Rhinolophus ferrumequinum: one gene and its partners. The protein of the gene in region 4 interacts with the protein of the main gene of each other region in a pairwise test. Links are inferred from orthologs where the notes say so. Each region holds a gene or a part of one and is shown on either strand. Other genes may lie near its edges.

What was found.
Region 1: the proteins of MAGED1 (region 4) and TFG interact in binary tests that used the Homo sapiens proteins (3 or more experiments, as listed by UniProt). The two-hybrid records come from large-scale screens. The link is inferred for Rhinolophus ferrumequinum from reciprocal best matches to the Homo sapiens genes MAGED1 and TFG.
Region 2: the proteins of MAGED1 (region 4) and TTC23 interact in binary tests that used the Homo sapiens proteins (3 or more experiments, as listed by UniProt). The two-hybrid records come from large-scale screens. The link is inferred for Rhinolophus ferrumequinum from reciprocal best matches to the Homo sapiens genes MAGED1 and TTC23.
Region 3: the proteins of MAGED1 (region 4) and CA8 interact in binary tests that used the Homo sapiens proteins (3 or more experiments, as listed by UniProt). The two-hybrid records come from large-scale screens. The link is inferred for Rhinolophus ferrumequinum from reciprocal best matches to the Homo sapiens genes MAGED1 and CA8.

The regions. Positions count from the first base shown.
Region 1 is NC_046285.1:29,837,038-29,844,997, reverse strand, and holds the start of TFG (protein TFG), read right to left. Parts: upstream 3,021-7,960; 5' UTR 2,771-3,020; intron 1,466-2,770; exon of another isoform or gene 1,448-1,465; intron 1-1,447. UniProt on the Homo sapiens protein: Plays a role in the normal dynamic function of the endoplasmic reticulum (ER) and its associated microtubules. Required for secretory cargo traffic from the endoplasmic reticulum to the Golgi apparatus.
Region 2 is NC_046311.1:11,647,500-11,655,226, forward strand, and holds the start of TTC23 (tetratricopeptide repeat protein 23), read right to left. Parts: upstream 3,021-7,727; 5' UTR 1,852-3,020; intron 1-1,851. UniProt on the Homo sapiens protein: Participates positively in the ciliary Hedgehog (Hh) signaling.
Region 3 is NC_046297.1:18,632,825-18,640,607, forward strand, and holds the start of CA8 (carbonic anhydrase-related protein), read left to right. Parts: upstream 1-4,763; 5' UTR 4,764-5,170; coding exon 5,171-5,270; intron 5,271-6,447; coding exon 6,448-6,639; intron 6,640-7,783. UniProt on the Homo sapiens protein: Does not have a carbonic anhydrase catalytic activity.
Region 4 is NC_046284.1:83,519,909-83,527,275, forward strand, and holds the start of MAGED1 (melanoma-associated antigen D1), read right to left. Parts: upstream 3,012-7,367; 5' UTR 2,941-3,011; intron 1-2,940. UniProt on the Homo sapiens protein: Involved in the apoptotic response after nerve growth factor (NGF) binding in neuronal cells. Inhibits cell cycle progression, and facilitates NGFR-mediated apoptosis. May act as a regulator of the function of DLX family members.

The sequences.
Region 1 (7,960 bases), on a different chromosome or scaffold from region 4:
ATCCACCCTTGTTTCTACATATTCCATACCACACCCCTCTGCAGACTTGAGTGGATGTGTATGATTTGCCTGCACACTTTAAGAAAGAAGACAATGGCAGAGAGTGAGCCATTAAATACCAATCTGCTATAGAATTTTCCCTTCTTAGGTTTTACTGTAATCTTATTTCAAGTTATTCAGTATGATTATCTTATAATGACTTTATAATACTAAATTCAAAATAATGTCTGAGGTATCTAGTAATTTAAATGGTTACTGTATAGTAACAGAGAATATACTTGATTAAATAATGTGTTAATATCTCTTTTTCTCAAGACCTCCTTTTCAAGGCCAAGATGTTCTTGAATACATTATCTATAACCACTGAGCATTTCCCTAGCATCAACTTCCTCCTCCTGCCCAAGCAAATGATCTTTTCACACTGTGTCAAGTGCCCTACAATCTCCTACTGGCCACATTCTGGTTTCAACCTCAGGCTTTACTACTGGCAGCTTTGTTTTCTCCTCTTAAATTTATTTCATTAACATCATACTTGGTTTTCATACTTCTCTGTGTGTGTGTGTGTGTGTGAAAGCACCCCACCTGCCCCAACACATCTCGAACCTTCAAATACTTTTAAGTATTCGTGAATCCAAATTCATTTAATAAATATTACATATAAATGCCCTACGTCCTTCCAACTAACTATTCCTCTAAATCCCCTTCCCCATCCTCTGAACAGATTACATTTTATCAATAAATGGGGCAATAAACACTGAATCTAACACTCTAAAGTCAGTTCATAACAGAATGGATTGTGCTCCATAACCTGGATGCTGTGCTCGCCTTCATGTAAAATAAGAATAGTCAGGGTTTTTATTTGCAAATTCTCACAACGGACTTCTCATGAAGGCTGTGATTAACTTAAACTTCCATACAACCTCTTCACCTTTAATCTATCCTGACCTTTATTCAGGAAAAATTTACTGAATACGTACTTATGCCAAGCTCTGAAGTATAATTACTTCAACAAGATGATGAAGATTCCACCTTGTTTGCCTTGCAGTCTGAGAGTAATAAAGAACTCCGGTCAATCAGTGTCACCTTCTACTATCTACAGGTTGTGTAAATCAGCAATAAAGTAGTTAAGGACCAAGGCTTAGCTTCAGCAAAATGGTACTATCTACTCTCAGCAACACTGAGAATAGAGCCTGACATATAGCAAGCAAGGACTTGTTTTTTGTTCCTTGAACAAGAGATGAATGAGGAATAATAAAGTTCTGATAAACCAACTGGGAGAAGAAAGCTGTACTATCTAGTCAGTTCCTAAGTCAGACCTTCACAATGTACCTTCTTTATAAGCTAGAAGTGACTCCCGAAAGCCAACATACTCCTAAAAGAAATTTCCAACATCGAATATTACTGATAGTATGTATGTCTTTTTGATTGTGGAAGGATTGTTGCTCACCAATGGATCTGAAAACACGAGTCTGAGTCTCTTTCACTTCGTATCGGCATGTTTGCCTGCAAACTCACTTATTCTTTAGCATTTCCCATTGACTCAATTCCCTGGGGCGAGGAACCAGGGCTTCTTTCCAAAGGCTGTCCTCAGTTTGTGCAGTTATCTCCTCAAGGCATGCACAAATATCAGAAAACGAATCGTACCACAGAATTTTCCCTTCCAGGGGAAATCCCATCCATCCCCATTGTTTTATACAATGTAATAGTAAAATTCAGGGCCTCTGTTTCTCTAACTACTAGTTACCAGGAGTGCTGGTGAGATCCTTACAGCAGTTTCTCCTCCCATCTTGTCCTTGCCTCACTCCCTCTAAAGTCCAGAAATGACACAGCCACTAAGGAAATCTTCCAATAGGAACACTGTTCTCAGCACTAGAGAATAAAGTGACATGCCCAAGGACACATAAGAAGCCTGCATCCTGAACCAGGATCTAGGTTGTGGCCAAACCTCCAGCTAGATTAACCCTGTGGGTAGGTCCCTGCTCAAAATCACAGGGGTGTGATTGGGCACGTCAGGAAGGTAGCAATTTCCTTTAAGAAATTCTAAGCAAAATCAACCCCTGCTTATTCCAAAGAATACAAGGAGCCTCCGATTCTGCCTAACCAAAGGCAATGTGTTAAGACCGTAAAGATTCCCACTACTAGTCACGTGTCCTTAGGCATCAAACGCAAAATGGGAATAATATTTAAATTTGGAAGGAGCCTTAGAATAATTAAATAAGATCATGCATCTAAAATACTTTGTACAGTGCCTAGTAAACTCTAAGAGTTAGCTATCATCCTCACTACAAAACTGGGTTGGGTCTGCAGACGGCGCTTGATAAAGCACTGACATAGCCAAGGAACGAGGTTCCCCTGAAGTGACCCCAATCAATTTACTCCTATTGGCGCCATTCTCCGCCCTCTCACCCTTGCAAGACCCTATGGCGGTTAGGCGCCCAAGGCCTCCCCGATCACCTCTCCTCTCCGTCCAGCATTCCGACCCCTTGGAGCCAGGCGGAATAAGCGCGAGAGCGCGTGATGGTCCAACCACCCCCAAAGCCCACCCGCCTCCGTGGCCTGTGTGATGCCCTTCCTCTCCCCGCTGTGGCCTCTCCTCCCCTAGGCGAGGTCCCACCCGGCCTCCCTCCTTCGGGCCTCCAGCCCCCTCTCACGGCCCCTCTGGCCCCCTATGCCCGGCGCCCGCCGGTTCGAGCGAGGCCCTCCCAGCGCTTCCTTGTCTCCTGGCCGCCTTGTCTGAGAGCGGCCGCGCCCCCGTCTCCAGCGGCCATACCGGCTTGCCGAGGCCGCTGCTGCCGCCTCTCCACAGGTCTCCGCTGGCCGGACTGGTGCAAGGCTGCCGGGCTTGGGGGCGTCGTAGAGAGGGTACGGTCACGGCCCACTCGGCTGCCCTCCGCAGCCGCCGCACTTCCCTCGTAGGCTCGCGAGGGACCCAGCCAATCGCACAGACCCACTAAGCCTAGCGAGAGCTTGGGCCCAGTACGTGGCAGGTGGGGGAAGAAGAGGGGCGGGAGCAAGAAAAAAAAAAATCTGTCCTTTCGCCCCGCCTCACAGCGAGCAGGCCACCCCAGCACGCATGCGCAACGCCGGGGGGCGCGGGGCGGGCAAGTTCCGGGCCGACGTCGACCGGAGTCTCTGCTCTGTCACTGGAGGAACAAGTGTAGTAAGTGCGAGCTGAACGCATGCACGCGTGCGCGCGGCATGACCAGGAACTTCCGGTTTTTCTGAAAGCGTGTACACTATTTCACGTCTCTCGTTCGTGGGCGGAGCATAGTTTACTGTTCTGGAATCTATTTGAGAGCCGATTGAAAGTGGGCATGTATCCAAGTTTGCGTCTTGTTGTTTTGTGACCCTTGTAGTTCTCTTCGTCATATCTCGAAAAAAAACTAAACTTTTTCCCGCTTTTCTACAAACTCATTCATTCATTTTTGGACGCCTACTCCTTGCCGAGCACTATGAGGATGAATCGGTTTGTGAGCAAGTTTACAATGGCGTTTACGTGACAGGACAAACCTATGAATGGGTAAAGGCTGGGAAATAAAGGCTGATGAAGTATCCTAGAAGCCTTTTTGGAAGATAAGGTATTCGAGTGTGCACTACATACTCCTCTCTCTTACCTAAAACATTTGTTTTGAATACGTGTGTGTATGTAAAAAGTGCCCTGACTCAGACTGAACCCTACATTTTTTTGGGGGGAGGTGAAATTTGGGGGTAGGGAGCGCTACTTTAAAAGTTGCAAGCAACTTTTGTCTTATAAGACAGAGACTAAGCAAAAAACAATTCAAATTAATCTGGCCCATAGTTGTTCAACAGAAAGAAAGGCCTGGGGTAAATTGAATTAGGTTCATGTTCTTTTAATACCATAAATAGTGTGATCTTTTTGCAGTCATGAGTCTCTGAACAAATCTTTTTGAGAGGGAAATATGTGAGGTTAGAATGCTTTTAGCCTCTGAATTGTATTTTACAACACTCTGTATTGCTCTTTGAGCAATTGGTTGCAGGAATTGGGGAGCGAAGGGCTAGAAGGAATGGAAAAAGTTCCTGATTTTCTCCCAAAATTGTTCATTGCTTGTTATTTAGAATTGAGTAATCCAGGTTTGGGGAAGTAAATTGCTGTCCAATTATGGTATTCTGATGTCTTTGAGTTGGTTTGAGATTGGATAAAAACACTCAAAAATTGGCAGAGGTAAAATATTCCCCGAAGGAAAATAACTATATCATTCTCAATCTTCCTAAAAAGAGGTTTCCTGGGGCAGGAAATTAAGGGAATAAACCCTAGCCTGGAATGAGGGGAAAGAATTTCCTCTCTCTAAGTTCCCAGGAAAGGGGCACACACTCAAGAGTCCTGCCACTGAGGAGAAATAAACGGGTCCCTGTTATACTGGGGCCAGCTGGAAGCTAGGAAGAGAGGCACCCATGGGTGTCCTTGGGGAGGAATTGGGGCTTGTGCACTCTGAAAGCAGCTTAAGGTTCGTTATGTTATAATTTTCTCATACTTAATCCCCAATTAGTGAAGTCTATACTTCATCCCCAATTAGTGAAGTCTTGTTGAGTTAAAACTTGTCCCCTTCCACTAGAGAAGGAGAGAAGGGATAGTGATGATTCTTCAGGTGAAAGCAGAAGCAGGATTTGTCTGAGGCAAGAAGTGAAACCAGAGAGTAAAACATTAATTGGAAGACAGATCAGAGGCTCAGGTGACATGGGACAAGAAGGAAAACACTGCAACATTAAAGCATTTCCCCAGGATTCTCTAGAAATATACATTTTAAATTTTTTAATAAAAAACTTTATAAAAGATTGTACCTCCTGCTTATCCAGCTGGATGTAGGCTTACAATATTGTGATCGGGCATGAAATTGAGGACATTTGGGTTTGTTTACATGTCATAGGAGAGTATGTATAGAAAAGCACACAATTATCATCTGAGTTTGTCAAATTGCCCCCTTTAAATTATAAATAACTTAATAACCAAAATCATATCCTGCCTATTTTCTATTTCAGCTTAATACTAAATTGTCCACAAAAATTTCAGTGGCCCTTCGTGTTCCTGATCCTATATAACAATTACATTTTTAAAATTAATTTAAGAGCATAATGAACAGCTGCAATTCACCACCCAACCCAAGGATTAGAACATCGCCAGGAAATTACGTCCTATGTGCTGCTCCCCACATAGTCAGTACCCTTGCCTCTTTCCTGAATTTTGTGTTCTGCATTCCCTTGGTTTTTTTGTTGTTTTTTTAATCTATTGTTTAATCCTACATATACATATACATACATATACATATATGTATATGTATATGTAGGATTAAACATATCCTATATGTATATAAATATATCCTATATGTACATATCCTATATGTACATATAGGATTAAACTATAGATTTATATTTATATATATAGGATTAAACTGAACAAACTGAACAACATATTTCATATATATATATATATATGAAATATGTTGTTCAGTTTTACTTGTTTATGGACACTATATAGAGTACCATCTATGATTTTCTGGGATATAATATTTATACATAATATTTATTATGTTACTAAGTAAGATACATCTATGTTTTTACATGCAGCTGGACTTCACTTATTTTCATAGCTGAATCATGTTCCTCTGGGAGAATATACTACAATTTTTTTTTTCAAGTCTCCTACCAAAGTATATTTAGGTTATTTCCAGTTTCTGCTGTGTGCTTGTATATGTCTCTTATATGAGAATATCTCTTGGTTATATGCTAATACATGGATCGCTGAATGGTAGATTATGCAAATTTTTAGCTGTACAAGATAATGCCAACTCTTAGTATCATAAGATACTTTTTATTTGGGCTGTGTCATGCAGCAGTCCCTGCTCGCTGTGCCATTTGTCATGCAGGGTGGCCTGCGGGGTCTCAGCTCCCGCTCCCCACATAAGAACGCAGGATGTGGCTAGGCCAAAAAGGAACACGCACGGAGCCATAGGTAAGGGAGTCATAATACTATAGTCTTACTTGAGGCTGGGCAAGACACACGCAGTAGTAGCCACATGATCCACAGTCCACCATTCACTTCTCTGCCTGCCAACCAACCAATCAACGAAGTCCGCAGTTACCTCAGTAGCCAATTGTCTGATTGGTTACAGCCGATGGCCAACCAATCACAGTTGATGGTCATTCATTACCCGAGCCAGCACCTCCCCACGTGAGGCCGAGAACCTGGAAACTGCTCTCTGGGACTCTCTCCCCACACTTCACCCCTCCAGGGTCTCGCCTCATAATCTATGCGACAAGTGTAGAAAAAAGTATTGGCCAAGTCCACTACATAGTGATAAGTTCCAAGGCAGTCAGACAATCCATCAAATCCTGAATTGAAGGCACTGCCGCGTGCAAAGGTGGTGTCACCTTATTTAACTCCCTATAGTCCACAGTCATTCACCAGGTCCCATCTGGCTTCTTGACTCCCCATACTGGGGAGTTAAAAGGACTGTGCATTGGCCTCACAATATGTGCCTTCTCCAATTTCAATATTGTATGACCAATCTCCTCCTGCCCTCCTGGCAGGCGGTACTGTCGCACTGTAACCACACGCCAGGGCTGTGGCAACACTTGAGGAGGGTGGTGAACATGCCCACGTGTCACCGCTGTCACCACCCGGATCCGGAAACAGAACTCCTACCGACGTCTGTAGGCTGAGGCCATGTAGCACGTCCACCCCTAGAATATACTCCGGAACGAGGGAGACATAAACCTTGTAGGTACGAGGGGGAAGCCTTCCTATACCCAGTGGTAAGGAAACAGCTTTTACAGTCACAGTCTTTCCCCCATAGCCATCAATGCAGATTGCTGGTCCGGGAAACAGTTCTGGGTTCCCATAAATAAGACTGCAGTCTGCGCCAGTGTCAACTAGAGCTAAAACCCTCTGCACATTAGAAGGGGACCAATGTATGGACAGTTCCACGTGGGGCCTGGGTCCCTGCTCGTCCCCTCTGATCAGGTACCTTGGTCCCACCCCTAATCAAGCTGAAAGGAGTCGGCCTCAAGCGGCCGCATGAAGTCCTGGAGGGACATGGGTCACGCTTTCCCAGACTTCTCCTTTAGGCTTCTCTGGAATTGCTGTTTCAGATGCAACTGTTTCCAAAGTTCCAACAAGAGTGCATTGGGTTGTCAGTCTATTTTCTCCCGATCGACCCCTGCTGCCATGAGATCACGCCACATCTGTGCACGTGTTACTCTCTGAGGCCCGCGACCTCGCCCCTTTACTTTTGATTTGGGCTTCCAGGTCTCAACTGCTGGGACCTCCTGTCTTAACTTCCTTCGCCTCTGGCTTTCAACATCCCCTAGGGTGGCTATGGCAGTTGTAACTTCATGGGTCCGTCGCCCCACATAGGGCATAAGAATGGCGACCAAGAATCCAAAAACACAGGAGCAGTATCCAAAACCAGATCTCTCATGCTGGCTGTAAAAAGCTCATCATCCGGCCCCTGCATATTAGAGTTGAAAATAGCATGTCTCATACCCATTTCACGGATGATTTGCGTAAGTTCCGTATATGACTGCCATTGACTCACAGTGTCTGGCAGCTCGCCAGCCTGTCCCCATACTGTGCGTACCGCAGCAGTGAGCCACTCCATCAGAGAGTGGTTGCCCTGGTCTTGGGCCAACCTATGGCAGTTCTGTAACCTTTGTCGCAGGGATGGATGCACTGTCACAAAGGCTAGCTTTTCCATCTCGCCTGGGGAGCAGAGAATGTTGTCTGCTCCCTCATCCCATAAACGTAGTAGCCAAGCCGAGACTGGCTCTCCAGGGCGCTGTCGGTACCACCTCCCCAGCTCCTGCAACTCAGTGGGAGTGTAAGGGGTGTAGGTCGTGAACTCAATCACAGCTGGGTTGCCGGCAGCAACGCCCCAGGGGCCCAAAGGTTGCTCATGTTCTACCCTTTGCTTCAAGATTGGCTGGGCTTGGGGGTTGGGAGCTA
Region 2 (7,727 bases), on a different chromosome or scaffold from region 4:
CCGTTATAAGGGTTTTGTTGTTGTTGTTTGTTGAAATTCTTCAATTTAATTAAATAGCACCAAGAGATACACTTAAATCCTGAAGGAAAAGAAGCAAGAACTGATACAATGGGAACAATAATCACTTTTACTGTTTTGATTGAATCACAACTGCTGTCACATCTAATATGGTTTGTATTTGTACTAAGTGCTAAACAACAAATGAGCTCTATGCTTTAGAAAGAAATGTGTAAGAGTTATGTTATTCAACCAAGTGAATTTTATAAAAGGCATTTGGATAAAATGTCTTAAAAGGCTGCTATTAATCCTTACTTCATTATTCATAGCATTTAACGTCTTCCCTTCCAGTCTCTGCTCTGGGAGCTATCTTAAATTGCGATGTCAGTTTTATCTTTTTCAAATATTACTTTCATAAGGTCTCCGTCCTGTTCAAATCCTAGGGCCAAACTCCTTAACTCTGGCAATTTTGACTCTTCATGCAACTTCTCGTGCTTTTTTTTTTTTTTAAAACCAAGTCCCCCAAATGAACCTTCTGCTGCAGCCAGAGCCAGTTATTCTCTAGGCTGCATATTACTTATTGCAATTTCATTACCTAGGATGCCACTTCCTTTCTTTTCTATCGACTGAAACTTTGCACATTGCTCAGGCCCACAATTGCTCAGGCCCCAATCCTACTGTGAAGCGTTCCCTGAATATTTCAACTCATACTGATCTAAGTACCTGAAGTACTTACGATCTATAATAGTCATCTATGCATAAAGAACTGTCTGGATGTTTTAAATGTTTTGAGTCTCATTCCCCTAACTAGAGTATGAGCTTCTTGAGAGACTGTATTTTATTATTTTATATCCCCCTATATGGATTAACAGAGGCACCTAAAGAAATATTTATTGCATACCTACTATGAGTTAGCCTTGTAGAGGTTTAGATATGCTACTAGGTATTATATTTACTAATTAAATCTTTACAATGCCATATTTTGGAATTATATATTGGGCAAGATCCTAATATTATGTTGCTATTTCAAATATAAGTTTTAATATATGTTATTCTCATTTATCAATATTTTCCTGAACTTTTATTAATAGAGCTTAGTTTTAATGAACATATCATTTTTGAAAATACTATATAAGTGGTGAATTTCATTTTTTGATAACTGATTATTATATTAATTACCTACTGATTCTGATTCATATACTAATATCGTTTTGCTTGGCCATTAGCAGATTGTCCCTGGCTCTCGTAATCTACAAATATACACAGAATTTGAAACAAAAGACGATTCTAATTTTCTCCTATATCTTTTAACAGATGGATTGTCTATTATGCTAGGTATGATAGTATACAAAAATATCCTTTTTATCCCTTTTAGAAGGTAAAAGGGATCAACTATATGGTGATGGAAGGAGCACTGACTCTGGGTGGTGAACGCACAATGTGATACATAGATGATGTGATACAGAATTGTGCACTTGAAACCTATGTAACTTTACTAACAATTGTCACCCCAGTAAACTTTAATTTAAAAAAATATCCTTTTTACTTGGTAATTACAATAACATTAAGTGTCCCTCTAAATCCATTTTAAAGCAACAACAACAACAACAACAAAACCACAGCTTCTTAGAGTATAAAATAATCTATAATTAATCTTATTACTTTGTTCCCTTTATCACTCAAAAATCCACAGCTAACCTGGGAATAAGGTTCTTCCAACCCCAGCCTAAAGAGGAAAACACCCTCTGAAAACCACTTTCTGCCCCTCTCAGATTTTGCTCCTAGTTTATCTGGTTTTCCCTGACACTTCCTCCTTCAAAACGAATGAAAAATCAGGAAAGTTGCAATGCTTACATCTCTGTGTCGTAAAATCCTTTGTCCATTTACCTTGTATGCTTGAGACGTTCTCCGTTTCTTTTTCCAATGAATTTACAGAGCTGTCTCGACAGCCTGATTTGCCAGACTGGGTCCCGCTGATCAGTGTGGCGATTCCTTATACAGATTGATAACCACGAAAAAGTCTAAAGTAGGGTAGTTCCAGACTAAAGAAGAGCAGCCTTTTCCCGTAAAGTAAGCTGGTACCTCACAAAACTCCAGGCAGAAGAATGAATGACAGAGCAAGCACCAATAGGGAGTGGAGAAGAGTATTTTGTCGAAGTTTATAACCCAATCCTTGGGAGCCAGAGGTGGGAATTTTAAAATGGGGTTGACTTTTTCTTGGTTTTTCTTAAAGTGGCATTGCTGCCTGTTGATGTTCAAGTTTGTTAAATTATGCCAAATCACTAGTTTAGAGTATTTCTTCGCCCTTGATTTGGGTGAGGCAAAATGTGAAAATTGACCCTCGACAAATTTAGAGAACTTTAAAGTTAGACATAGGATATTATACTATAACCATAGAATCACTTGGCTACTACTTTTGTCAATTTTTTTTTTGGAGGGGGCGGTGTAGAAGTTATTTTAAGATGATTCATTTTACGTGATCAACTATTGGATGTTAAATTAATGCGTTAAAATATTTCCCTTTTTAGAGAAATGAAAATAAGAGGCTAACATTGATTACTTTCTAAGAAATGGTTCTATCTATTGTTAATCTTTTTTTTTGAGCGCGTGTAACTTCAGTATTAGGAGGAAGTCTTCTTATTTGGGTTGATCTTTAATACCCTAAAGGTTTTTGTTTTTACACAAACTGTAGGTTTCCTTGTTTGAAGTCTAGCAAAAAATTCCTAAGTACTACAAATTCTTAGGTATTTAGAAACCTATATAAAGGATCTTAGAAATACATGCCATATACTTCATTAACTTCAGAAGACCAGATTTAATATATAGATAATTGACATTTCATTATAGCTCATGTCTTGCTTTGGAATAGGTTTTATTGTTATTTAACATAACTCTGCTTTCTAGGTTATTCATCTCGAAGAGTAATGAACTAAACCAACTATATAAAACTACACAGTCAAGGTTACTTGACAATGAAGCACTGGTAAATTAGTCATTATCAAGCTTTTCAAAGAACAATGAATAACAGCAGTTTCATGAGAGGAAAAAAAATGGAAAAACCTCATTGCAGAACGCAAGTTGCCATATTAAAAAAACAAGGCATTTTAAAAAATAAGTTTTTGGGTTTTTTTTAACGTTCCCTGACAATGCTTGATTTTTTTTATTTTTATTTTTATTTTTATTTTTTTTTTACCCAGCATAAAGCTCTCGTCCTTTTATGCCTCTTTCCCCTGACATAGAAATTTCCGTCTTGAAAAATATATGCATTCACGGCCTACCCAGCCATGCTAGGAACCGCCCCAATATTTAACTTACTAAGTGGTTACCATCCTTTTCAGCGATCTTTTCTAACAAAAGGTAGAATTTCAAGAGCAGAGACTAGGTTCCCGCCTCCTCTTTGGAACGAACCTATCAACGCGCAGTGAGCCCTTAAACCTGTGCTGGGGTTCACTACCTGCCCACTATTGGCCCCTTTACATAAACCCACGGGGCCTCAGTTTTTCACCGGTCAAACTTAGTATAAGAATAGTACTTGTATCAAGGGATTGCTGTGAGGGATAAGTTAGGTAAACTGTGCACAGCTCTTAGAACGCTGCCTGGTACACAATAAGCGCTCAGGTGTGACTGCGGTCGTGCCTCAAGGTACCCATTGAATGACAGCACGGACGTCTGAATGAATGTGTGAATGGAAGAAGAGATTGGTTACTAACGGTTCCTGAGGTGCGAGCCGGCTCAATTACCCCTTCAAAATGCAAAACAGCAAAAAACCACTGTCTTGACAGCAAGATACCAGCGGGAGCCGGAAGCGAGCGTCGAGAGGTGGGAGGGGCCAGCCTGCAGGAAGCAGCGCTCTCGGCCAATGGCCACATCTCTCGGAAAACGAGCCTCTCGTCCGACCTATCGTGAAACCGCGAGAACAGGTTGGAAATATCGCGATGTTCCGTTCTTCTCTCCACTGCTCTCTCTGGCCCAGCTCTCTGTTGACAGGGTTCCCTCCCCCGCCCCGCCCCTCACCGCCCAAGCCTCGCCCCGCCCCCCGCCCGGCGCCCCGCCCCTTCCCTCCCGGCGTCTCCCGGCTTGCGGTCCAGCGCAGCCTGCGCCCCGGAGCGCTGGCTCCGCCGGCGCCGAGGTGAGTGCGACCGTCCAGGTCCGTGGGTGGCTCACGTTGGCGAGGGTCCCTGTCCCGGCCCCCTACCTCCAGGTGGGGTCCGGCAAAAGCGTCCGGGCCGCGGTGGGTAGACCCAGATGCGAGTGGGCCCTGCCGGGCCTCGGGTCCCCACCGTCGCCGGGCCCTCCTGGCCCTGAGAATCGGATACTGGCTCTTGAAATCCCTGCCACTGGGCTCGCTGCTTCCAAACTGTGACGACCTTAGTGTTTGATTAACTCGGGCAAAGACGGCATGTGTTTTGCTTAAGACTTCTGCAAGCAAGGGCTTCTTAGAAGTAAGAAAATAACCTTTTACAAATGCTTTTAATGAAGTTTTTAATCCTCTAATGTCCAGTATTAGGAAATCGGAGTGGGTATTTCTGAATTAAGTACTGAAGTCACTCGAAGGGACTCCTTTCCTAAGACGCTCGTGCCTAAAATGTGTGAAATATGAAGATAGACGGTTTTGTTTCTTTTTTAAAATAATAAAGTGGATTGGTGTTTACCTGTCAGAAAACTCATGTGGAGGTGCAATGGTCTACAGTTAATGTTAAGTATGTCATTTACTTTTAACTGTAGGTAAGAGGTAGTGAAGGAAATCTGTGTAAGAAAAGTATCCTGGTAAAGGATGTATATTGCCCGTGAACGCATATTGGAGACCATTAGCGTTATTTATGATTGATTGGTGGCTTTCAGGTTTCACCTGTGTAGATTTTACCGTTTAAACTGCCTTTGTACTAAGATGCATTTAACAGGGCGTAATGACGTTTTTAAGGCAGACAGAGGGTTCAGAAGGAAAGCCATCAGACTAGAGTGAATTCTCTTCTTTGATCTTGCATCAGTGAGTGTGGGTTTTATATATAGTTTTGCTTTGGAGTCTTACATTTATATAAGCCTTGGCGACCACTTAAACGACCCCATCAAAGTGTGTGCCTGAACTGCTGCATTGTAGGGCAATGCACAGGTTTTGGAGTGGATGCACCTGGTCTGCAATTCTGGCAAGTAACTGTATGAGAAACACAGTTTCCTCATACATTAAATGGGCTAAATAATGTCTATTGCATTGCAGAATTGTGAGCATTAGGGATTTTTTTTTTTAAAGATTTTATTGGGGAAGGGGAATAGGACTTTATTGGGGAACAGTGTGTACTTCCAGGCCTTTTTTCCAAGTCAAGTTGTTGTCCTTTCAGTCTTCGTTGTGGAGGGCGCAGCTCAGCTCCAGGGGGCACAGCCCACCATCCCTTGAGTCCAACCGGCAACCTTGTGGTTGAGAGGACGCTCTCCAACCAAATGAGCCATCTGGGAGCTCAGCTGCAGCTCAGCTCAAGGTGCCGTGTTCAATTAGTTGTAGGGGGCGGAGCCCACCATCCCTTGCAGGAGTTGAACCGGCAACCTTGTGGTTGAGAGCCCACTGGCCCACGTGGGAATCCAACCGGCAGCCTTCGGAGTTAGGAGCATGGAGCTCCAACCGCCTGGGCCACCGGAGCGGGCCCCAGCATTAGGGGATCTTTATGGCACATAGTAAGCACTGAGTATATAGTACCTACAAGCTGACCTTAGCTCAGAGAATGAAAAAAACTACCGTGCAGTACAGCAGGTCCTTGAATAACATTGTTTGTTCAGTGTCATTTTGTTATAATGTTGATGAGATAACATAGAACTTGACTCTTGTTTATGTCAGTTAGCCTACCAGAAAGTTGGTGTCTACATTGTTTCACTTTAAGTTGCACACCCTATGCAAGGTATTAGGTGAGGACTTACTGTGTTACTCAGTATCCTCTTTTCATCAGCTGTTTGAAGGCCTGCTTTATGCCAGAGGCAGGTATATAAGAGTGAAGAAAACCCCAAAATCTCTGCCCTCAGGAGCTTATCGTCTCTTGGCTAGATTGACAATAAGAAAATGCACCAGTAAATATGTAGATTACAAATTGTGAAGAGTCCTACAAAGAAAAAAAAATCGGGTTTCTCTGCAATAATAACTGGGGGATACTTTAGTTTGAGATAGGGGCGTGATTTTTACATTGAAACCTGAAGGATGATGGAACGTTGGGTGCTTTCTTGGCTAAGAGGAGGGCAGCAAGTGCTGTGAAGAGTTTGACACTTTCTGGAACTGGAAAAGCCCAGGAGCTTGGTGAGAAGCCAGATAAACCCGGAGAAGTGTATGGGGCCAGATAATGAATAGCCCTGAAGTCCTGGTAAGAGGTTGATTTTCTAAAAAATCTTTTGAAGGGCTTATTTAGTAGAATGTACGAGCACTAGAAAGCCAGTTTACCTTACAGAAAGGGAAATATAATTGGATTTACATTTTAAAAGGCTCACTGCTAAGTAATTAAAGGACCAGAAAGTGGCTAGAGTAGACACGGAGACCTGTGTTAATCCAGATAGCCAGGTAGGAGATGCCTAGCTTTTGGTTTAGGCTGATGGAAAACTGTGGATAGATTTGAGGTATATTTTGGAGATGGAAACCACTGGCCTTGTGATGAATTGGAGGTGGCAGGTGAATGACCAGATGGAATCATTCATGACTTCTAGCCTTCCAGCTTGAGCAGCTGGGTGGGGAGGTGGGTGGCGTGCCACTTTCTGAAATGGGAAAAACTGGGGAGGATTTGAAGGCGGGGAGAAGGTCTCTTTTAAATGTGTTAGGTTGGAGGTTCTTGCTTTGCAGCTGAGAGAATTAAGATGTAAAAAGATTTGAGTTTCTTGCTCCAAGTCATGTAAAGGCTCATAAAAATAGATGAGCAGGTGGACTAAATATGGGAAAATATTGGATTCTCATGTTGTATTGGGATGTTATTGAATATTCCATATTCTCCGCCCTTTTGTATACAGTGGTAATTGCTCTCTTATTAGCTAGGATTTAGAATTCAGAAATAATAGCAAATAACCAAAAACTCTGCTTATTGAAAGTCATGGTACTACATTTTGCACTAACTTGGTGCTAATTCCAAGTGGAAATAGTTTTTCTTAAGAAAAACAAACTCTTTGAAAGTTCCTTCCATGAGAAAGTTTAGAAAAGGGTGCCCATGAAAACAGAGAGTAAGTAGGCTCTTTGAACCAAGCTCAACTTCTTTTTAGTGTTAGTATTTTCTTAGTATCCTGTGTACCTGTGTATGTAAAGAACCCAGCCTTTGAAATACACTGGACACCCCACCATCCAAGAAAAAAAAATTCTTGCTTTCATTATCCCTTATGAGCTGTTTGGCTTTGAACTAATTATTGAAGCTCTGAGTTTGTTTCTTCTAGTGTTCATTGATTGTGAAGTTTGTTTCTGTTCTGTGCGTAGTTGATTAGATGGCAAATGTTATTTCTCTTCCTGTCCTTGTCAGATTTGGAGGTAGAAGGGAATTTAATCTGTTCTGGGTTTTGGCTTTTACCAATAAATTTCTGTCTCCATTTTATATATTAGGCAACTGAGGCACCGAGAGATTGAATACAGAGTTCTTATTTCTTAGTGCAGTGTTTTTTCTTTCATTGAAATAATAAAGTAAAACTGTTTCTCAGACCTATTTCTTTGTTACTTTTGATAATGTGCAAAGATAAGAAGAAAGTAAGAAAAGAAAAAAGAGATTAAAGAAAGAAAAAAT
Region 3 (7,783 bases), on a different chromosome or scaffold from region 4:
GGAATTATGGCAGCCAGCTTTGGAGAAAACCACGGTGCTCACATTATTCTGTGAATTGGTTTGCCATCTTGCACAGCAGGCATTCCTGCATCTCCTGCACCCAGCCGCATGCTGTGGGCAGAGTGAGGTGTCCCCGTTGCTGTGGGAACTGCAGCATGAGTGTGGCCACGGGGTGATCCTAATTGGGCCACTGCATCTTCTCTTCATGTCAAAAAGGGCTCAGTACATTTCTAGAATTGTTCTGTCAACACAACGTGCTTATCTAAGCATTATCATTTACTTTGTATTTTATTTCATGTCATGAGATTATTTTGAATTATGTTTTAAAAAAATCTTTAAAACATAGACATACTATTTAAATGTGTCATTTTGCACTTTTATTTACACCATAGAAAACCTTCTATTAACATCATAGAAAAAAAAAATCTTGGTCAAAAGGTGAACTCACACTGGCTTCTATATTTGAGTTTTTGTTGTTTGTTTTTCACTTTGATTGGCATGTCTTCTTACCTCCTGTCCTCCACTCTTCTGTGGGCAAAAGAGCACTTAGTTATCTGGCAGGACCCAGCTACATGTCACTTCCTTTATGAAGCCCCTGTTGACACACCTGCCACCAAGTAAACTTGACCACTCCCTTCATGTGTGTTGTGGCCCCTGTATCCTGAAAGCCTCTGCCTTAGTTATCAGAACTTTTATTGCGCTAGTATTTATAAAGGCTAACCAGATTACTGTACGGCTGGTGGCACAGGGCAACTACTTCCTAAGTGCCTCCCATGGGCTCGGTGGGGGGTACAAAGAGGACGAGATGAACCCCTAGCTCCCAGGGAGCTCACTGTCTATTGGACAGGGTCATAAAGACATATTTAAAACACAATCTTAATTTCAGGGCTAGAGATCTGTACAGAGTATCATGGAAGCTTTAAACCACTCGAGTAGGGATTTCACTTGGCAAATGCGAGGAAGGCTCCTTAGAGAAGGGAGTTTTGGGAGTCATCAATAGTGATCTCAAACATCCCAACCTCAGCTGCTGTCATTTTCGTGCTGCAGTAGGTATAGGGCTCCAGGCATAAAGGGTGTGATCGGAGAGAAGTGAAGAGAGCGATGGCCCATGCCTGCTTAGAGGAGACTGGGACTTTCTATGGAAACGGGCTTTCTCACTGAGTGGTGAGGTCGTGAGGGTCCTGGTTAGGACCAGCGCTTCTAAGAAATTTGCAAGGTGTTGATAAGGGCACTGTTTTAGACTGTTTAGTCTCCTTGCAGGCCAGAGAGGTAAAAAGACATGCAAAAAAGCAGTTCAGCAAATAAAGATTACTCTTGAGCTCACCTTTACCTGATGGGCTATTGTAACAGTCAGCTTTGGGTTAGGCCACTATAACAAACAACCCCCAAATCTCAGTGGCTTGTAAAACAAAGGCTTCTTTCTCACTGAATAACTTGTTGACTTCTGGTTGTCTGCACTCTCATCTGTGGGTCCTCTTCATTCCAGGATCTAGACTGAAGGAGCAGTGCCTTTCTTGGACTCGGTAATTTGGGGGCAGAGGGACAACAATGATGGTGGAACCACATGGTAATTACTAAAGCTTCTATGAGGAAGTGGTACATGCGCTTCTACTCAAAGCTGTGAGGTATCACCTCACAGAGCAGAGCAGTGAATGACAAGAGTATAATTTGCCACCGTCCACTCAACCCAACACTAAAAGCTGATGGTTCTGAAGACAGAAGACCAAGAAGAGTTGAAACAAAAGTAGGCTTATAAACACAACTTTAAGCAGACAAAATATAAGACTAATCAGATGAAGAAACAAATATGAACGAATCAGAATGTCTTGCCTTATAAATGAAGATTGAAACTTTCAGCAATCAAAATGTGTATAATGAGGAAAATTTTGATGCCTTTACTGACAAAACAAAAATCAGCCTAGCTAACTAAACGACCAGAGCAGTGTCTTACTTCAGACATGAGCCCACTGAAGCTCACATTTTTTGAGTAACCTGGATTGGTGTTGGCAGGTCACAGAAGGTACTTGGAGGAGAAAATGGATCTACAACGATGACGGCCATTATTCAGCATCATCGCTCAGGCCTAGATTGCTATTCGCTCAATCACTGCCCACGCACATCCCATGCATGTTGTGTAGGTATGCGGAGCTAGGACCAATCTTAATATCTCTTTGTTCCTTTGACATCTAGATTAGCTTGTCCCTTTTAGGTATTTCTATTTATGTTCTCTTAGTACCTATATAAATAGCAATTAGTTATATAGGTGTTATTTTTAATGAATTGTTATACTGATGTGACTTGACCTCAGTTATGCAAACACTGAAAGTGAGTAATACAAAGTTAACTTAAGGAATCAAATATGGTATTAGGCCGAAATGCATTACAATTATACAGAGGGGTGTATGGAGTACTTAAGTTCACATACAGAGGGTGAATATTTTTAGATTCTCTGCTATTAGATTTCGGTGTGCTTGTTCTATTTCATAAATCAAAGAATTGGCCTATATCTTTGATCTGTGTGTTTAGGTTTTATGGTGACAGATACCCTGTAACAGCTAGAAATAGAAATCCATCTTTAGTGATAATATAGTACAGGGACCTGAGAGGAGAAGGTCTTCAGATGCTGTTAATTAGCAGAATTCGGAAGCACACAGTCTCAAAGCAATTAAGGCTGTTAATTGACTATTTGGATGCAGAGTGGAATGGCTCTTATGTTGCTGGACAGGGCACCCTAGGCTTGCAAGGAGGAGTTACATTATACACATGACGTTGAAAAATTAGGAAGGTCAAATACGGGTAAACATGTTTGTCTAGGAGTTAACTGCATTTATGAACGGTGATTCATTGTCGGCTACAGGCAAAATTGTCTGTTAGCTGCAAAATTCATTATTAACAATTCAGTCTTTCAGCCTATCTGCGGTAAACATGGCACACTATTTACTCATGGAAAACGGAGTTTTTTTGCCATGGCGAATTTGCTGTCCTCCGGTTCAAGAAACATCTCTGTAATTCATGTCATCCTTTAAGAGCAGTTGGTGGTCACACATGGCTATGAGGTAGCATCTATGTACATTTTGGGGCCAGAGGGACCTGAGCGTTACTGCTGAGCTCAGGGTGGCAAAATGATTTTATTATGGAACCGCCCATCGGGTCCATTAGCTGCAGCATTTGATTAAGGTGTGAACTTCTTAAAAGAAAGCTTAAAAAAAAATTTCAATGTTGTGAAAAAGTTTTCAGGAAAGGAGAAAGCAATGAAATATTCCTTTTGGAAGAACTTCAGTGAAAAATGGTTAATGTTTGGGGTAGTGTTTATTATTTTTATAGCTATCGCTTTAGGACAGACTTCTGCTTCTGTCAAGCCCAGGGTTCACTAAGGGGCAGGGAAGACAGGCTAGTCACTAAAGAACGCCCAGAAAGCAGTGAGTAAAGAATGCATTTAGTTTTTCTCAGACTGTGGCTCAGTCTGCTCAATGGTGGACTTTCTTGTGTCTGTGTTAAGAGGAAAGAGAAATTACTTGAATTACATGAAATCCACAGGTTATCCTCAAAGCTAAAGTTGACCAACAGTTTTCACCTATTTTGCTGAACATTCTAGAAAGGGGCAGATTGATCCCCCACCCCCTTTCAGTCCCAATCCATTTTCTGGAGAAATTTCTAATAGCCTGTGAAGTGGCTTTAAGAAAAAAAGAAGGGCTGAGCAGGCAGTGGAGCTCAGAACCCCAAATCCTCAAATCGAGCATCTCCGTCCTTATATGAGGAATTAAGCATTGATAAGGGTGGTATGATTTAGAAATCCACTATTCAAACTGCTAACAGACATTTCAGTGAGTGCATAGAGCATATAGAAATAAATTTTACTAAAGATCCAAATCTGAGATTATGCACACAGGCCTTCTAAAAACATGGTGTTAACCCGCTCAAGGGTTATTAGCTAAAGGTTTTAAATAAAAGGCGTTAGAACAGGGGGCTGAAGTCCTTAACACTGGATTGGGCGGCTCGTTTGTGAGGTAACTATGAGAGCTTTTTGGATCAGGAAAGTTCCTGTTTGTTATGCAATGTGTGCATTTCATTATTGACACGATTTCATTAGGCATCAGAGCTGTGTACACAGCTAGCTGCGTCTGTAGCAGCACCCACAGTCTGAAACTAAAACCAAAACACGCTTGCTTTATTGCCTTTCACTACTCTAAACTTTTTCACGGAAAAATTTCCCTAAATTATATTTACTTCTCTAGATGAAAACAATTTTTTTTCTTAAATGTTTTTAGGAACTATAAGTTTCTTGGAAGGTTTTCCATACTCGTTTCTACTGTGTTCCAAGGGCTAATAAAACAACAACAAAACCTCAGTAATAAGGATTCAGAGTGGGGAAACCCTCTTTGTGTGTCTCCCAGCCCTCTCTTCTCCTACCCAAGGCAATCCATCTCTCTCCTCCCAGGTCCCTTTCTTTTGCTATTTCCTGGAGTAAAGATGAAAACAGACAGGTCCGGCCTGGGCCCTGCACACCAGCGTCCGGTGGACACACCCTGGGTGACTCGCGGGGCTCGGGATGGCGGGCGCAGGAGGCCGATCTCCCGCAGTCAGCGCGGGACAGCGGGGTGGGGAGCCCACCCAGCGGTAAGGGTAAGCGGTGTCCGCTCTTTCGCTCGTTTCGGCGCGGTAGCCCCAGGGCCTTTTCCTGGTGTCCTCCCCCTGGGTCCCTCGGCCACCGAACCAAGGGGGCGGATCCTCACGTGCCAGACACGCCCCGGCCGGGTTTATAATTCGCCGGCTCTGGCTCCCGGAGCTGTGGCTTCTCCCGCGCTCCGCTGGGACTCGGGACGCGCTCCCCGCTCCCGCCGCCAGAGAAGTCCCGGCTCGAAGCCCGCCCGCCGGGCGCCCGCTCGTACTCGCACGCGCGCTCACACGCGCGCGCTCACACTCACATTGTCTTTCACCACGCGCGCTCACACTCAAACACGTGCTCTCCCACTTTGCACACGCGCTCACACTCGCACTCGCGTGCTCCCACTTGCACACGTGTGCTCGCTCTCACAAGCGCACTTTCACGCGCTCAGACTCCCACACGCGCGCCACACGCACGAGCGCTCACACTCTCACTCCGGCCCGTTTACCCTGCAGGGGCGCAGGCACCGCCGGCGAGAGCGCCGAGAGGACCCACGACCTTCCCATGGCTGACCTGAGCTTCATCGAAGATTCCGTCGCCTTCCCGGAGAAGGAAGAGGATGAGGAGGAGGAGGAGGAGGGTGTGGAGTGGGGCTACGAAGAAGGTAACCCGCAGCGTGTTGGGGTGGCCGGGGTCCCGGGACAGCGCGTCCGAGGCTACGCGCCGCGTGTGTCGGCGCAGCGCAGGGCTCTGCACGCCGCTGCTCTCGCGCGCTCCGAGCACCGCCGAGTCCCCGCTTTCCCACGTGGGTCTCTGTCGCTTTCCCAGTCCCCGGGTCGGTTTCGGGACAGAAGGCGCTCCAGGGACAGCGGGCGGGCCTGCTGCCTGCTTTAGCGCTGGGGAGCCAGGCTTTCTTGTCCAGGAGCGGCTGGCACCTGCCTCCATGCGGAGGGCGAGCCTGAGACCTGTGGCGGTGACATTTCTGTCTCCTGAGTAGCTGCAAGGAGCAATGTTACATTGTACTCACCACCTTGAGAATACAGTGTTAGCGAAAGTATTACGTTCTTGTTTGCTATGAAGACTTTGACAGAAGTATTTCTGCCTCTACTTTTTCCCCGAAGGATACTAACAAGACTCTTTCCAGACATGTCCTAAATTTCAGGCTCAATCAGTGGGCTTGACTTTTTAAGAAGTTTAGTTTTCTAAATTTATCCCTGAAAATGTAGATCTCTTAGAAGAGTTGACCACAGGTGCTGATATTGACTACATTTATTGAAAAAAATGTAGAATTTGTAGTTTTAACTTAAAAATATGGAAACAGTATTCATGTATGAATACAGATATGTGTATATAGCATATGCACACTTCAAAACATTGTACTTGCATTTCTGATAAGAGGTGTTTAACTCACTTGCTTCAGGTCTGTGGTTTTGGGCTCTCACCAAGCATGTGGGGATTTACAGGTGTTTGCCAAGTACTGCACATAATCGAACTGATGAGTAGAGGACATTTTTGTGGTATTATCTTTTCCCTAATCATTTAAAGATTACCTGAATTTCCTAGCATCATAAATTGCTACATCTATGTGGACCAATAGAGACAGTATTTTGTTAGTCCAGGGTTTTGTATGTGGTATTTAATAACATTATATCATTCAAAATATGAATGCAAAAATCCACACACTGACCACATTTCACCTATAGAGAGAGAGAGAGTAGTCATAACCCTCTTAATAACGTACAGGGTTATAAACAGTGTTTAAACTAGTTTTTACATGATAAATTTTACTGTAACTTTTTTTTTTTTAAACCTGTTATAAATGTGTTTCATCTTGTCCTTAGGTGTAGAGTGGGGCTTGGTGTTTCCTGATGCTAATGGGGAATACCAGTCTCCCATTAACCTGAATTCAAGAGAAGCTAGATATGACCCCTCACTGCTGGATGTCCGCCTCTCGCCAAATTATGTGGTCTGCCGGGACTGTGAAGTCACCAATGATGGACATACCATTCAGGTTATCCTGAAGTCAAAATCAGGTATTTCACGAGATGCTTTTGTGTGTTCTTGTAGATTCAAAGTCACCTGGGAGCCACTGACTCATTTAGCTTATATGACCTTAAAAGTAGAACGAACAGCTCCATTGTCAGGATACCTTTGTATTAGGTTGGTGCAAAAGTAATTGCGGTTTAAAAGGTTAATTGCAAAAACCATAATTACTTTTGCACCAGCCTAAAATATTATAAAACACATTTTTTTAAAAATTGGGGAATGTTGGGAACAGTGTTTTCCTAGGATGTGAAGTTGTTTTTTTTTTTCAGTCCAGTTGAGGCAGGGCAGAGCGCGGCTCCAACTCAAGTCATTGTTTTTAACCTCGTTGTGGAGAGCGCAGCTCACTGGCCCTTGTGGGACTCGAACCCGTGACCTTGGTGTTAGGAGCCCGCACTCTAACCACCGAGCCAACCCGCTGCCTGGCAGAGGCTTAGGGCTCCAACCTCAAGCTGTTGCTTTCAATCTAGTTGTGGACTGCGGAGTTCACTGGCCCGTGTAGGAATAGAACCGGCAACCTTGTTGTTAAGAGCTCCTGATCTAACGGGCTGAGCCATCCGGCTGCCCCTATAAAGTGCATTTTGGGAATTATTTTCTGAAACATTTTTGAAAGGATAAAAGGATGAAATGATGAAGATGTCAGTTTGGTTGTTCAATGTTAGATGATACTCTAACAATCAGTTGGTCAACATAACACTTTGTGGAATTTGTGGAAAGGTATGTGCAGGTGGACCAATCTGCATTTTGTCCTAAATTGTTGATCAGCTTAAATCATGTAGATAATTATACTTCTCTGTTTTACTGCACTGTAAAACTAAGACTAGGATTTATTGACATTATCTGGCATTCAAGATAGACTTTTCAAGTTCATTTTCTCTACTATATTAATATGAGAAGAATTTTAACTAATAGCAATCAAAAACATTCTCTAAACTCAGCACAAGACTGAAATGGCAAACAAAGCTCTTGCTTTAATGAAAAAAAAATTAACTCACCCTCTCCCTCTGAACCTATTTGAGATGGATTTGAAATGTCTTATGGAAACGGTGTTGGGTCATTACTAAGAAATTTTATTTTGGCTTAAGTGTAATGAAGAGGAAAGCAGAATTAAAAAAATTAGCATTAATATTATGC
Region 4 (7,367 bases):
ACCCAGATTATGTTTTGTAAAATAATAAAATAAAATAGTCTATATATTTTCTATTTGTTATTAATAAACAGAAAGACAGATAGAAAGAAAGAACCAGGCCAGGAATGAGTATCTTACAGACCCTAACTCCATGAATTCCACCACCATTTAGCAAGTTACTATCCACCTCTGAGTCTTGTTTTTATCAGTAAAATGACAATGATAATACTGACCTCAGAGGGTGGTTTTTAACACTAGGTGGCCAACTATATTTAAAAGCTTGTCTGTTACACACAAGCACTGAATTCATTTCCATTTACCATACCAAGTATTTATGGGCAACATATAATGAACACACAGTGATAAGAGCAATGAGAGAGGTAAGTAAATATGCTGTAGGATAGCACACAGTGTGCCACAAAGAAACAGACTGAGGATGGAGGTAGATACATGTCTTCTTACTGGGGCTGGTAACTCACTCTTCACCTAAATGGTAGCAAGAAGCTAACTAGGAAAAAGAGAATATGAGGAAATTATGTGGGTGGATTAGATTAGTTGATTATGCAGAGTGTTGCTTAACACTATGCAGAAAAGTGACTGTGGAGGAGTGGGGAGTGCAGGAAGCAAAGTGAACAACAAATGCAGAGACACTGGCATAGACATATCCTGTTTTCCCATTAATATCTGTATAGTTCATGCCCTCACTTCCTTTAGGTTTCTGCTCAAATGTCACCTTACCAGGAGGCCTTCCTGACCATCCTACCTAAAATAGGACAGCCCCTCCCCATCACAACCTATTACATATTTAATATATATTCATTTATTGTCTGTCTCTCAGCTATAGTTTGAAAACTTTGTTTTCAGGGGTCAATCCAAGAAGAGGATTTAACAATCATAAATATCTACACATCCAATATAGGATCACCTAAATATATAAAGCTAATGTTAATGGGCATAAAGGGAGAAATTCACAGTAATACAATACAGCAGGGGATTTTAATACCTCACCCATATGAATGGTAGATCGTCCAGACAGAAAATTAATAAGGAAATAATGGCCTTAAATGTCCCATTAGGCAAGATCAACTTAATAAACATTTACAGAACATTTCATCCAAAAAGTGCAGGATACAGATTTTTCAAGGGCCCATTCTCCAGGATAGATCATATATTAAGCCACAAAACAAACCTCAATAAATTAAAGACTGAAATCTTTTCTGACCACAATCGCATGAAGCTAGAAATAAATTGTAAAGGAAGAAAACTGGAAACACACACACAAATATGTAGAGACTAAACAACATGCTACTAAACAACCAATAGGTCAAAGAGAAAATAAAACCAGGAAATCAAAAACTACCTTGAAACAAATGAAAACAAAACTTTCCCAAATTTATGGGGTATTTTTGTTTTTATTTTCCACTGTTGTAGCCTCAATGCTTAGAACACTGTCTGACACATAAAAGTTATTCAATAAAAAAATTACTGAATGAATAGATGGATGCATGCACAGTGGGTTGCAGCCAATGTGATGATATCTAAAACTGTATAATTATGACTTCAATAGAGAATAAAGAGACATCAGCAATACCCTTTGAAAAAGTTCCTAAGTGTTTTGGCGTCATAAAATCTCTGCCTCATTGTTTATTCTAAAGGAATTGAAAACTATACCTGGCCTAGAAAAAAGAATCACCTCTTATTTTGGCAAACATAACACACTAGTTAGAAGAGGAGGAATAAATGCTTGTTCAAGGAGATTCTTGGTTCAATTCTCCTTTAGAGCCTGAAAAAACCCTGAACATCATTATAAATTTAATGATCATTTCCCTTCTCTTGGGTAAAGAATTGAAATAATAAACTGTGATTATTAACTAGGGTTCTCATCAGATAAATTACACATGGTTAAGGAAACAGAAAAATACATTTCACATTGCAACAAATGGGGAAAAAAGACAGCTCACAATGCAACAAAACAGATAATACTTGCAAAACTCTTGGGGAAAAAAATACTTGAAAACTCTTCCAGTTTGCTGTTCAATGTTACTACCAGAGACCAGAAAAGGATTTGCATAATAAACCCGACTCATGAAATAATACATGTGTAATTGGATGTCATATCTGTCAACCTTTTTGCTCTATGAGAGGTTATAAAAGGGGTGGGAAATCTTCCATCTTCTAAAGCTGACACCAGGTTTTAGGCAAAACACGCTATGTTTGCAATACCATAAAAATTTGGGGATTCAGTTCTATGCCAAAATTTTACATTTTTTTTAAAAAGTCATGACTAGACAACTGAAACCAGTGCAATATCTGATGTGTGTTTTTTTAGAGTAAAAATATAAATAAAAGGACGTAATAATTTGAACACCTCCCCTTTGTCTCTTAGGGCTCTAAAATCTGTTTCTTTGCGTATTTTTTAAAAGAAAATACTCTTGACCTTGAAATTGAAATCACACCCAATTTCTACAGTATGTAATTCACTTACCTCTGCAGGGCAGATTCAGGAGAGACCAGAAGCCTTCAATGGGATAAAATACTGGGTCAGAAGGGGAAAAAGGGAAGACTGTAGGTTCAGAGTGGGGGAAGGGGGTTGCAAAAGTTCTGAGGCTTAAAGGGGACTGAGTAGAAGGTAGGAGTAAGAGATAGGAAAAATCTGTGGTACAGGGAATGAACTAGGCTCAGAAAGATCTGGAAGAGGATCCAGGATAAAGAGGAGATGTGAAGAGTGACGAGGGATAAAAGTACCACAAAAGTCAGAAGAGGGAGGGGATAACGGCCTGCCATCTCCGGAGGATTAAGAGAGGAGATAGTGAGACAATCAGAACCACAACCATCAGGAATATCCTCCATACTGTGGGGATGAATTCTTCTTTCCACCCCATGTTGAAGCAAGGAGGAAAGCTTCCTTGGCATGTTTGAGCATTCACTGTGAGAATTACCAGTCCCTTTCTTTACACTCACCTTGATGAAGAAAGCCAGCGACGCGTCTACTGTATGACCGGAAGTGGTATTTTCTTTTGTTTGGCGGAAGCTTTAGCTTCTGCTGCCACCCACCCAACCCCCACCCCTCACCCTTCACCCCTCACCCCCCACCCCCACCCCCGCACTTTCACTCCAGGCAGCTTCCTGTGCCTCTCTAGCAAGCTCTTGCAAGACTTTATCTCATTGGTTCTCTCACCAGATCAGAACCTGGATAGAGATGTAAACCGGCTGGAAATCAGTCAACTTTTTTCAAATCCTAGCACTCTGCAGTATCTCTGTCAAACCCCACCTATCCAATCTGTCACCTGTCCTTGTGATTCAGCTTTTTAAATACCTCCCGTGCCTTTAGTCCCTTAATTCTTGAATGTCTGCAGTTTCATATTTACCATACCGGGTCACTGTTTTCTGGCATACCATTTTAGGAAATAAAGTTAATTTTTATTAGTAGCATACTTTGATTTCAACTTTTTGAAAAAAAAATCTTAAATCTGAATCATTTTTGTCTTGGAATGGTATCCAAAGAGTTACATGCCAGACTCAAAATTCCAAATAAATAAATGGGAACTCATTTAGAAAACATTCTTGGATACTTCCACACCCCCCACCAAAGGAAAAAAAATGAAGAAAATGACAGCTTAAAAAAAGTTTCAGTACAATAATGAGAATAATCCTTTCTCTGGTTAAAAGTTCAATATTGAATTACGTGCTGCCACTACCTACAAAAACCAATTCTGCTCAAAATCAGGACTCCAGTCCTTCTCTTTTGTGGTTATTTTTGATACAGGCCAAGATTTCTTTCCTAAGAGACTTTAAGTTTCCTTCTTATTTTTTTTTTAAATTAAAGTTTATTGGGGTGACAATTGTTAGTAAAGTTACATAGATTTCAAGTGTACAATTCTGTATTACATAATCTATAAATCCCATTGTGTGTCCACCACCCACATTCAGTTCTCCTTCCATCACCATATATTTGATCCCCTTTACCCTCATCTAACACCCCCCTCCCCCCTTACCCTCTGGTAACCACTAAACTATTGTCTGTGTCTATTGAGTTATTGTTTCTCATTTGTTTGTCTTGTTCTTTTGTTGTTTTTGGTTTATATACCACATATCAGTGAAATCATATGCTTCTTTGCTTTTTCTGTCTGACTTATTTCGCTTAGCATTATACACTCAGGATCCATCCATGTTGTCACAAATGGTCCTATTTCATCTTTTCTTACCACGGAATAGTATTCCATTGTGTGTATATATACCACCACTATTTTATCCATTCATCTATCGAAGGACATTTTGGTTATTTCCGTTTCTTGGCCACCGTAAATAAAGATGCCATGAACATTGGCTGCACCAGTCTGCATTCACACCAACAGTGTATGAGGGTTCCTTTTTCTCCACAGCCTCTCCAACACTTGTTACTATTTCTCTTCTTGATGATAGCCATTCTGACTGGGGTGAGGTGATATCTCATTGTGGTTTTTATTTGCATTTCTCTGATGATTAGTGATGTTGAGCATTTTTTCATATGTCTATTTGCCATTTGTATGTCCTCTCTGGAGAGATGTCTCTTCAGGTCCTCTGGCCATTTTTCAATTGGGTTGTTTGTTTTTTTGTTGTGAATTGCATGAGTTCCTTGTATATTTTTGATATTAGCCCCTTATCGGAGGCACTGTTTGCAAAAATCATCTCCCATTCAGTTGGTTGCCTCTTTATTTTGTCAATGGTTGCTTTTGCTGTGCAGAAGCTTTTAAGTTTGATATAGTCCCATTCACTTATTTAACTTTTACTTTCTTGCCTTTGGACTCAAATTCATAAAATACTCTTTGAACCGAAGATCCGTAAGTTTAGTATCTATGTTTTCTTCAGTGCAGTTGATTGTTTCAGGTCTTATGCTTAAGTCTTTGATCCATTTTGAATTAATTTTGGTACATGGTGACAGATAACAGTCCAGTTTCATTCTTTTACACGTGGCTTTCCAATTCCGCAAGCACCATTTATTGAAGAGGCTGTGTTTTCTCCATTGTATGTTTTTTACTTCTTTGTCATAAATTATCTGTCCGTATTTATGTGGTTTATTTCTGGGTTCTCAATTCTATTCCATTGGTCTATGTGTCTGTTTTTCTGCCAATACCATGCTGTTTTGATTACTGTTGCCCTGTAGTACAAGCTAAAGTCGTGGAGTGTAACACCTTCAGCATTGTTCTTTTTCTTAAGATTCCTTTGGCTATTTGGGGTCTTTTGTGGTTCCAAACAAATCTGAAGATTTTTTGTTTTATTTCTTTAAAAAATGTCATTGGGATTTTTATGGGGATCACATGAAATCTGTATATTGCTTTGGGTATTATGGCCATTTTAACTATGTTGATTCTTCCAATCCATGAGCACGCAATGTCTTTCCATTTCTTTGTGTGTTCTTCAATTTCTTTAAAAATGTTTTATGGTTTACAGCATATAGATCTTTCACATCCTTGGTTCAGTTTATTCCTAGGTATTTTATTCTTTTTGCTGCAATTCCAAAAGAAATTTTTTTAACTTATTTTTCTGAGATTTCATTGTTAGTATATAGGAATGCAATGGACTTTTGTACGTTGATTTTGTAGCCAGCAACTTTACTGTATTCGTTGATTGTTTCTAATAGCTTTTTGGTGGAGTCTTTAGGGTTTTCTATATATAGCACCATGTCATCTGCAAAGAGTGACAATTTAACTTCTTCATTCCCAATTTGGATGCCTTTTATTTCTTTCTCTTGCCTGATTGCTCTAGCAAGGACTTCCAACACTATGTTGAAAAGCAGAGGTGATAGGGGACAGCCCTGTCGTGTTCCTGAACGTAGAGCAATGGGCTTCAGTTTTTCAGTGTTAATTATGAGATTAACTGAGGGTTTGTCACATATGGCCTTTATTCGTTAATGTTTTTTCCTTCTATACCTATTTTATTAAGTGTTTTAATCATAAATGGATGTTGTATCTTGTCAAATTTTTTTTCTGCATCAATTGATATAATCATATGATTTTTTAAAATTAAAGTTTATTGGGATGACAATTGTTAGTAAAGTTACATAATAGTTTAGTGGTTGCCAGAGGGTAAGAGGGGAGGGGAGTGGTAGATGAGGGTAAAGCGGTCAAATATATGGTGAAGGAAGGAGAACTGACTCTGGGTGGTGAACACACAATGGGATTTATAGATGATGTAATGCAGAATTGTACACCTGAAGTCTATGTAATTGTACTAAAAATTGTCACCCCAATAAATTAAAAAACAAAACAAAAAAAAACCAAAAACAACAAATAAAAGAAAATATGTTGTTTAATCTCCATGTTTTTGTGTTTTTTCCTGCTTTCTTTTTGCAGTTGACATCCAATTTCAAAGCCTTGTGATCAGAGAATATGCTTGGTATGATTTCAATCTTCTTAAATTTGCTGAGGCTAGTTTTATGTCCCAATATATGGTCCATCCTTGAGAATGTTCCATGTACACTAGAAAAAAACGTATAATCTGATGTTTTAGGGTGAAGTACTCTATATATGTCAATTATGTCTATTTGATCTAATGTGCCATTTTAGGACTGCTATTTTGTTATTTATTTTCTGTTTGGATGATCTATCCATAGCTGTCAATGATGTATTTAGGTCCCCCAGTATAATTGTGTCTTGGTCAATTTCTCCCTTTATTTCTGTTAGTAGTTGTTTGGTATATTTCAGTGCTCCCTGATTGGGGGCATAAATATTGATGACTGTTATGTCTTCTTGTTGTGTAATCCCCTTTACCATTATGAAATGTTCATCTTTGTCTCTTGTTACCTTTTTCACCTCGAAGTCTGTTTCATCTGATATAACTTTAGCTACACCTGATGTTCTCTGGATACCATTTGCTTGGAGTGTCAAGTTCCACTGTTTCACTTTGAGTCTACACTTGTCCTTGTACGTGAGATGTGTCTCTTGGAGACAGCATATGGTTGGGCTTAGTTTTGTGATCCAATCTGCTATTTTGTGGCTTTTTATTTGTGAGTTCAGTCCATTTACATTTAGGGTGATTATTGATATGTGAGGATTTCCTATTATTTTACCTTCAGTTTTCTGGTAAGAATGTTTCTCCATTGTTTCTTCGCTTTTTTATTGTTGTCTTTTATTTCTGTGTGGTGATATTCTATGATGCTTCCCTCTGTTTCTTCTTTTATTACAGTATATATTATAGTTCTGGATTTTTTTTGAGTGGTTACCCTTAAATTTATGTAAAAGAAAGTTTGATATTTAGAGTATTCCACTTTCTTCAGCATGCATACTTTCTCCATTCCCATGTTCCAGTTCAGGCCTTTACTCTCCCCCTTTTCATGTTTTGGTTGGCACACGTTGTCCCTGTTGATGGTGGTCGAATAGCCTTCTTTAGTATTTCTTGCAGTGCAGATT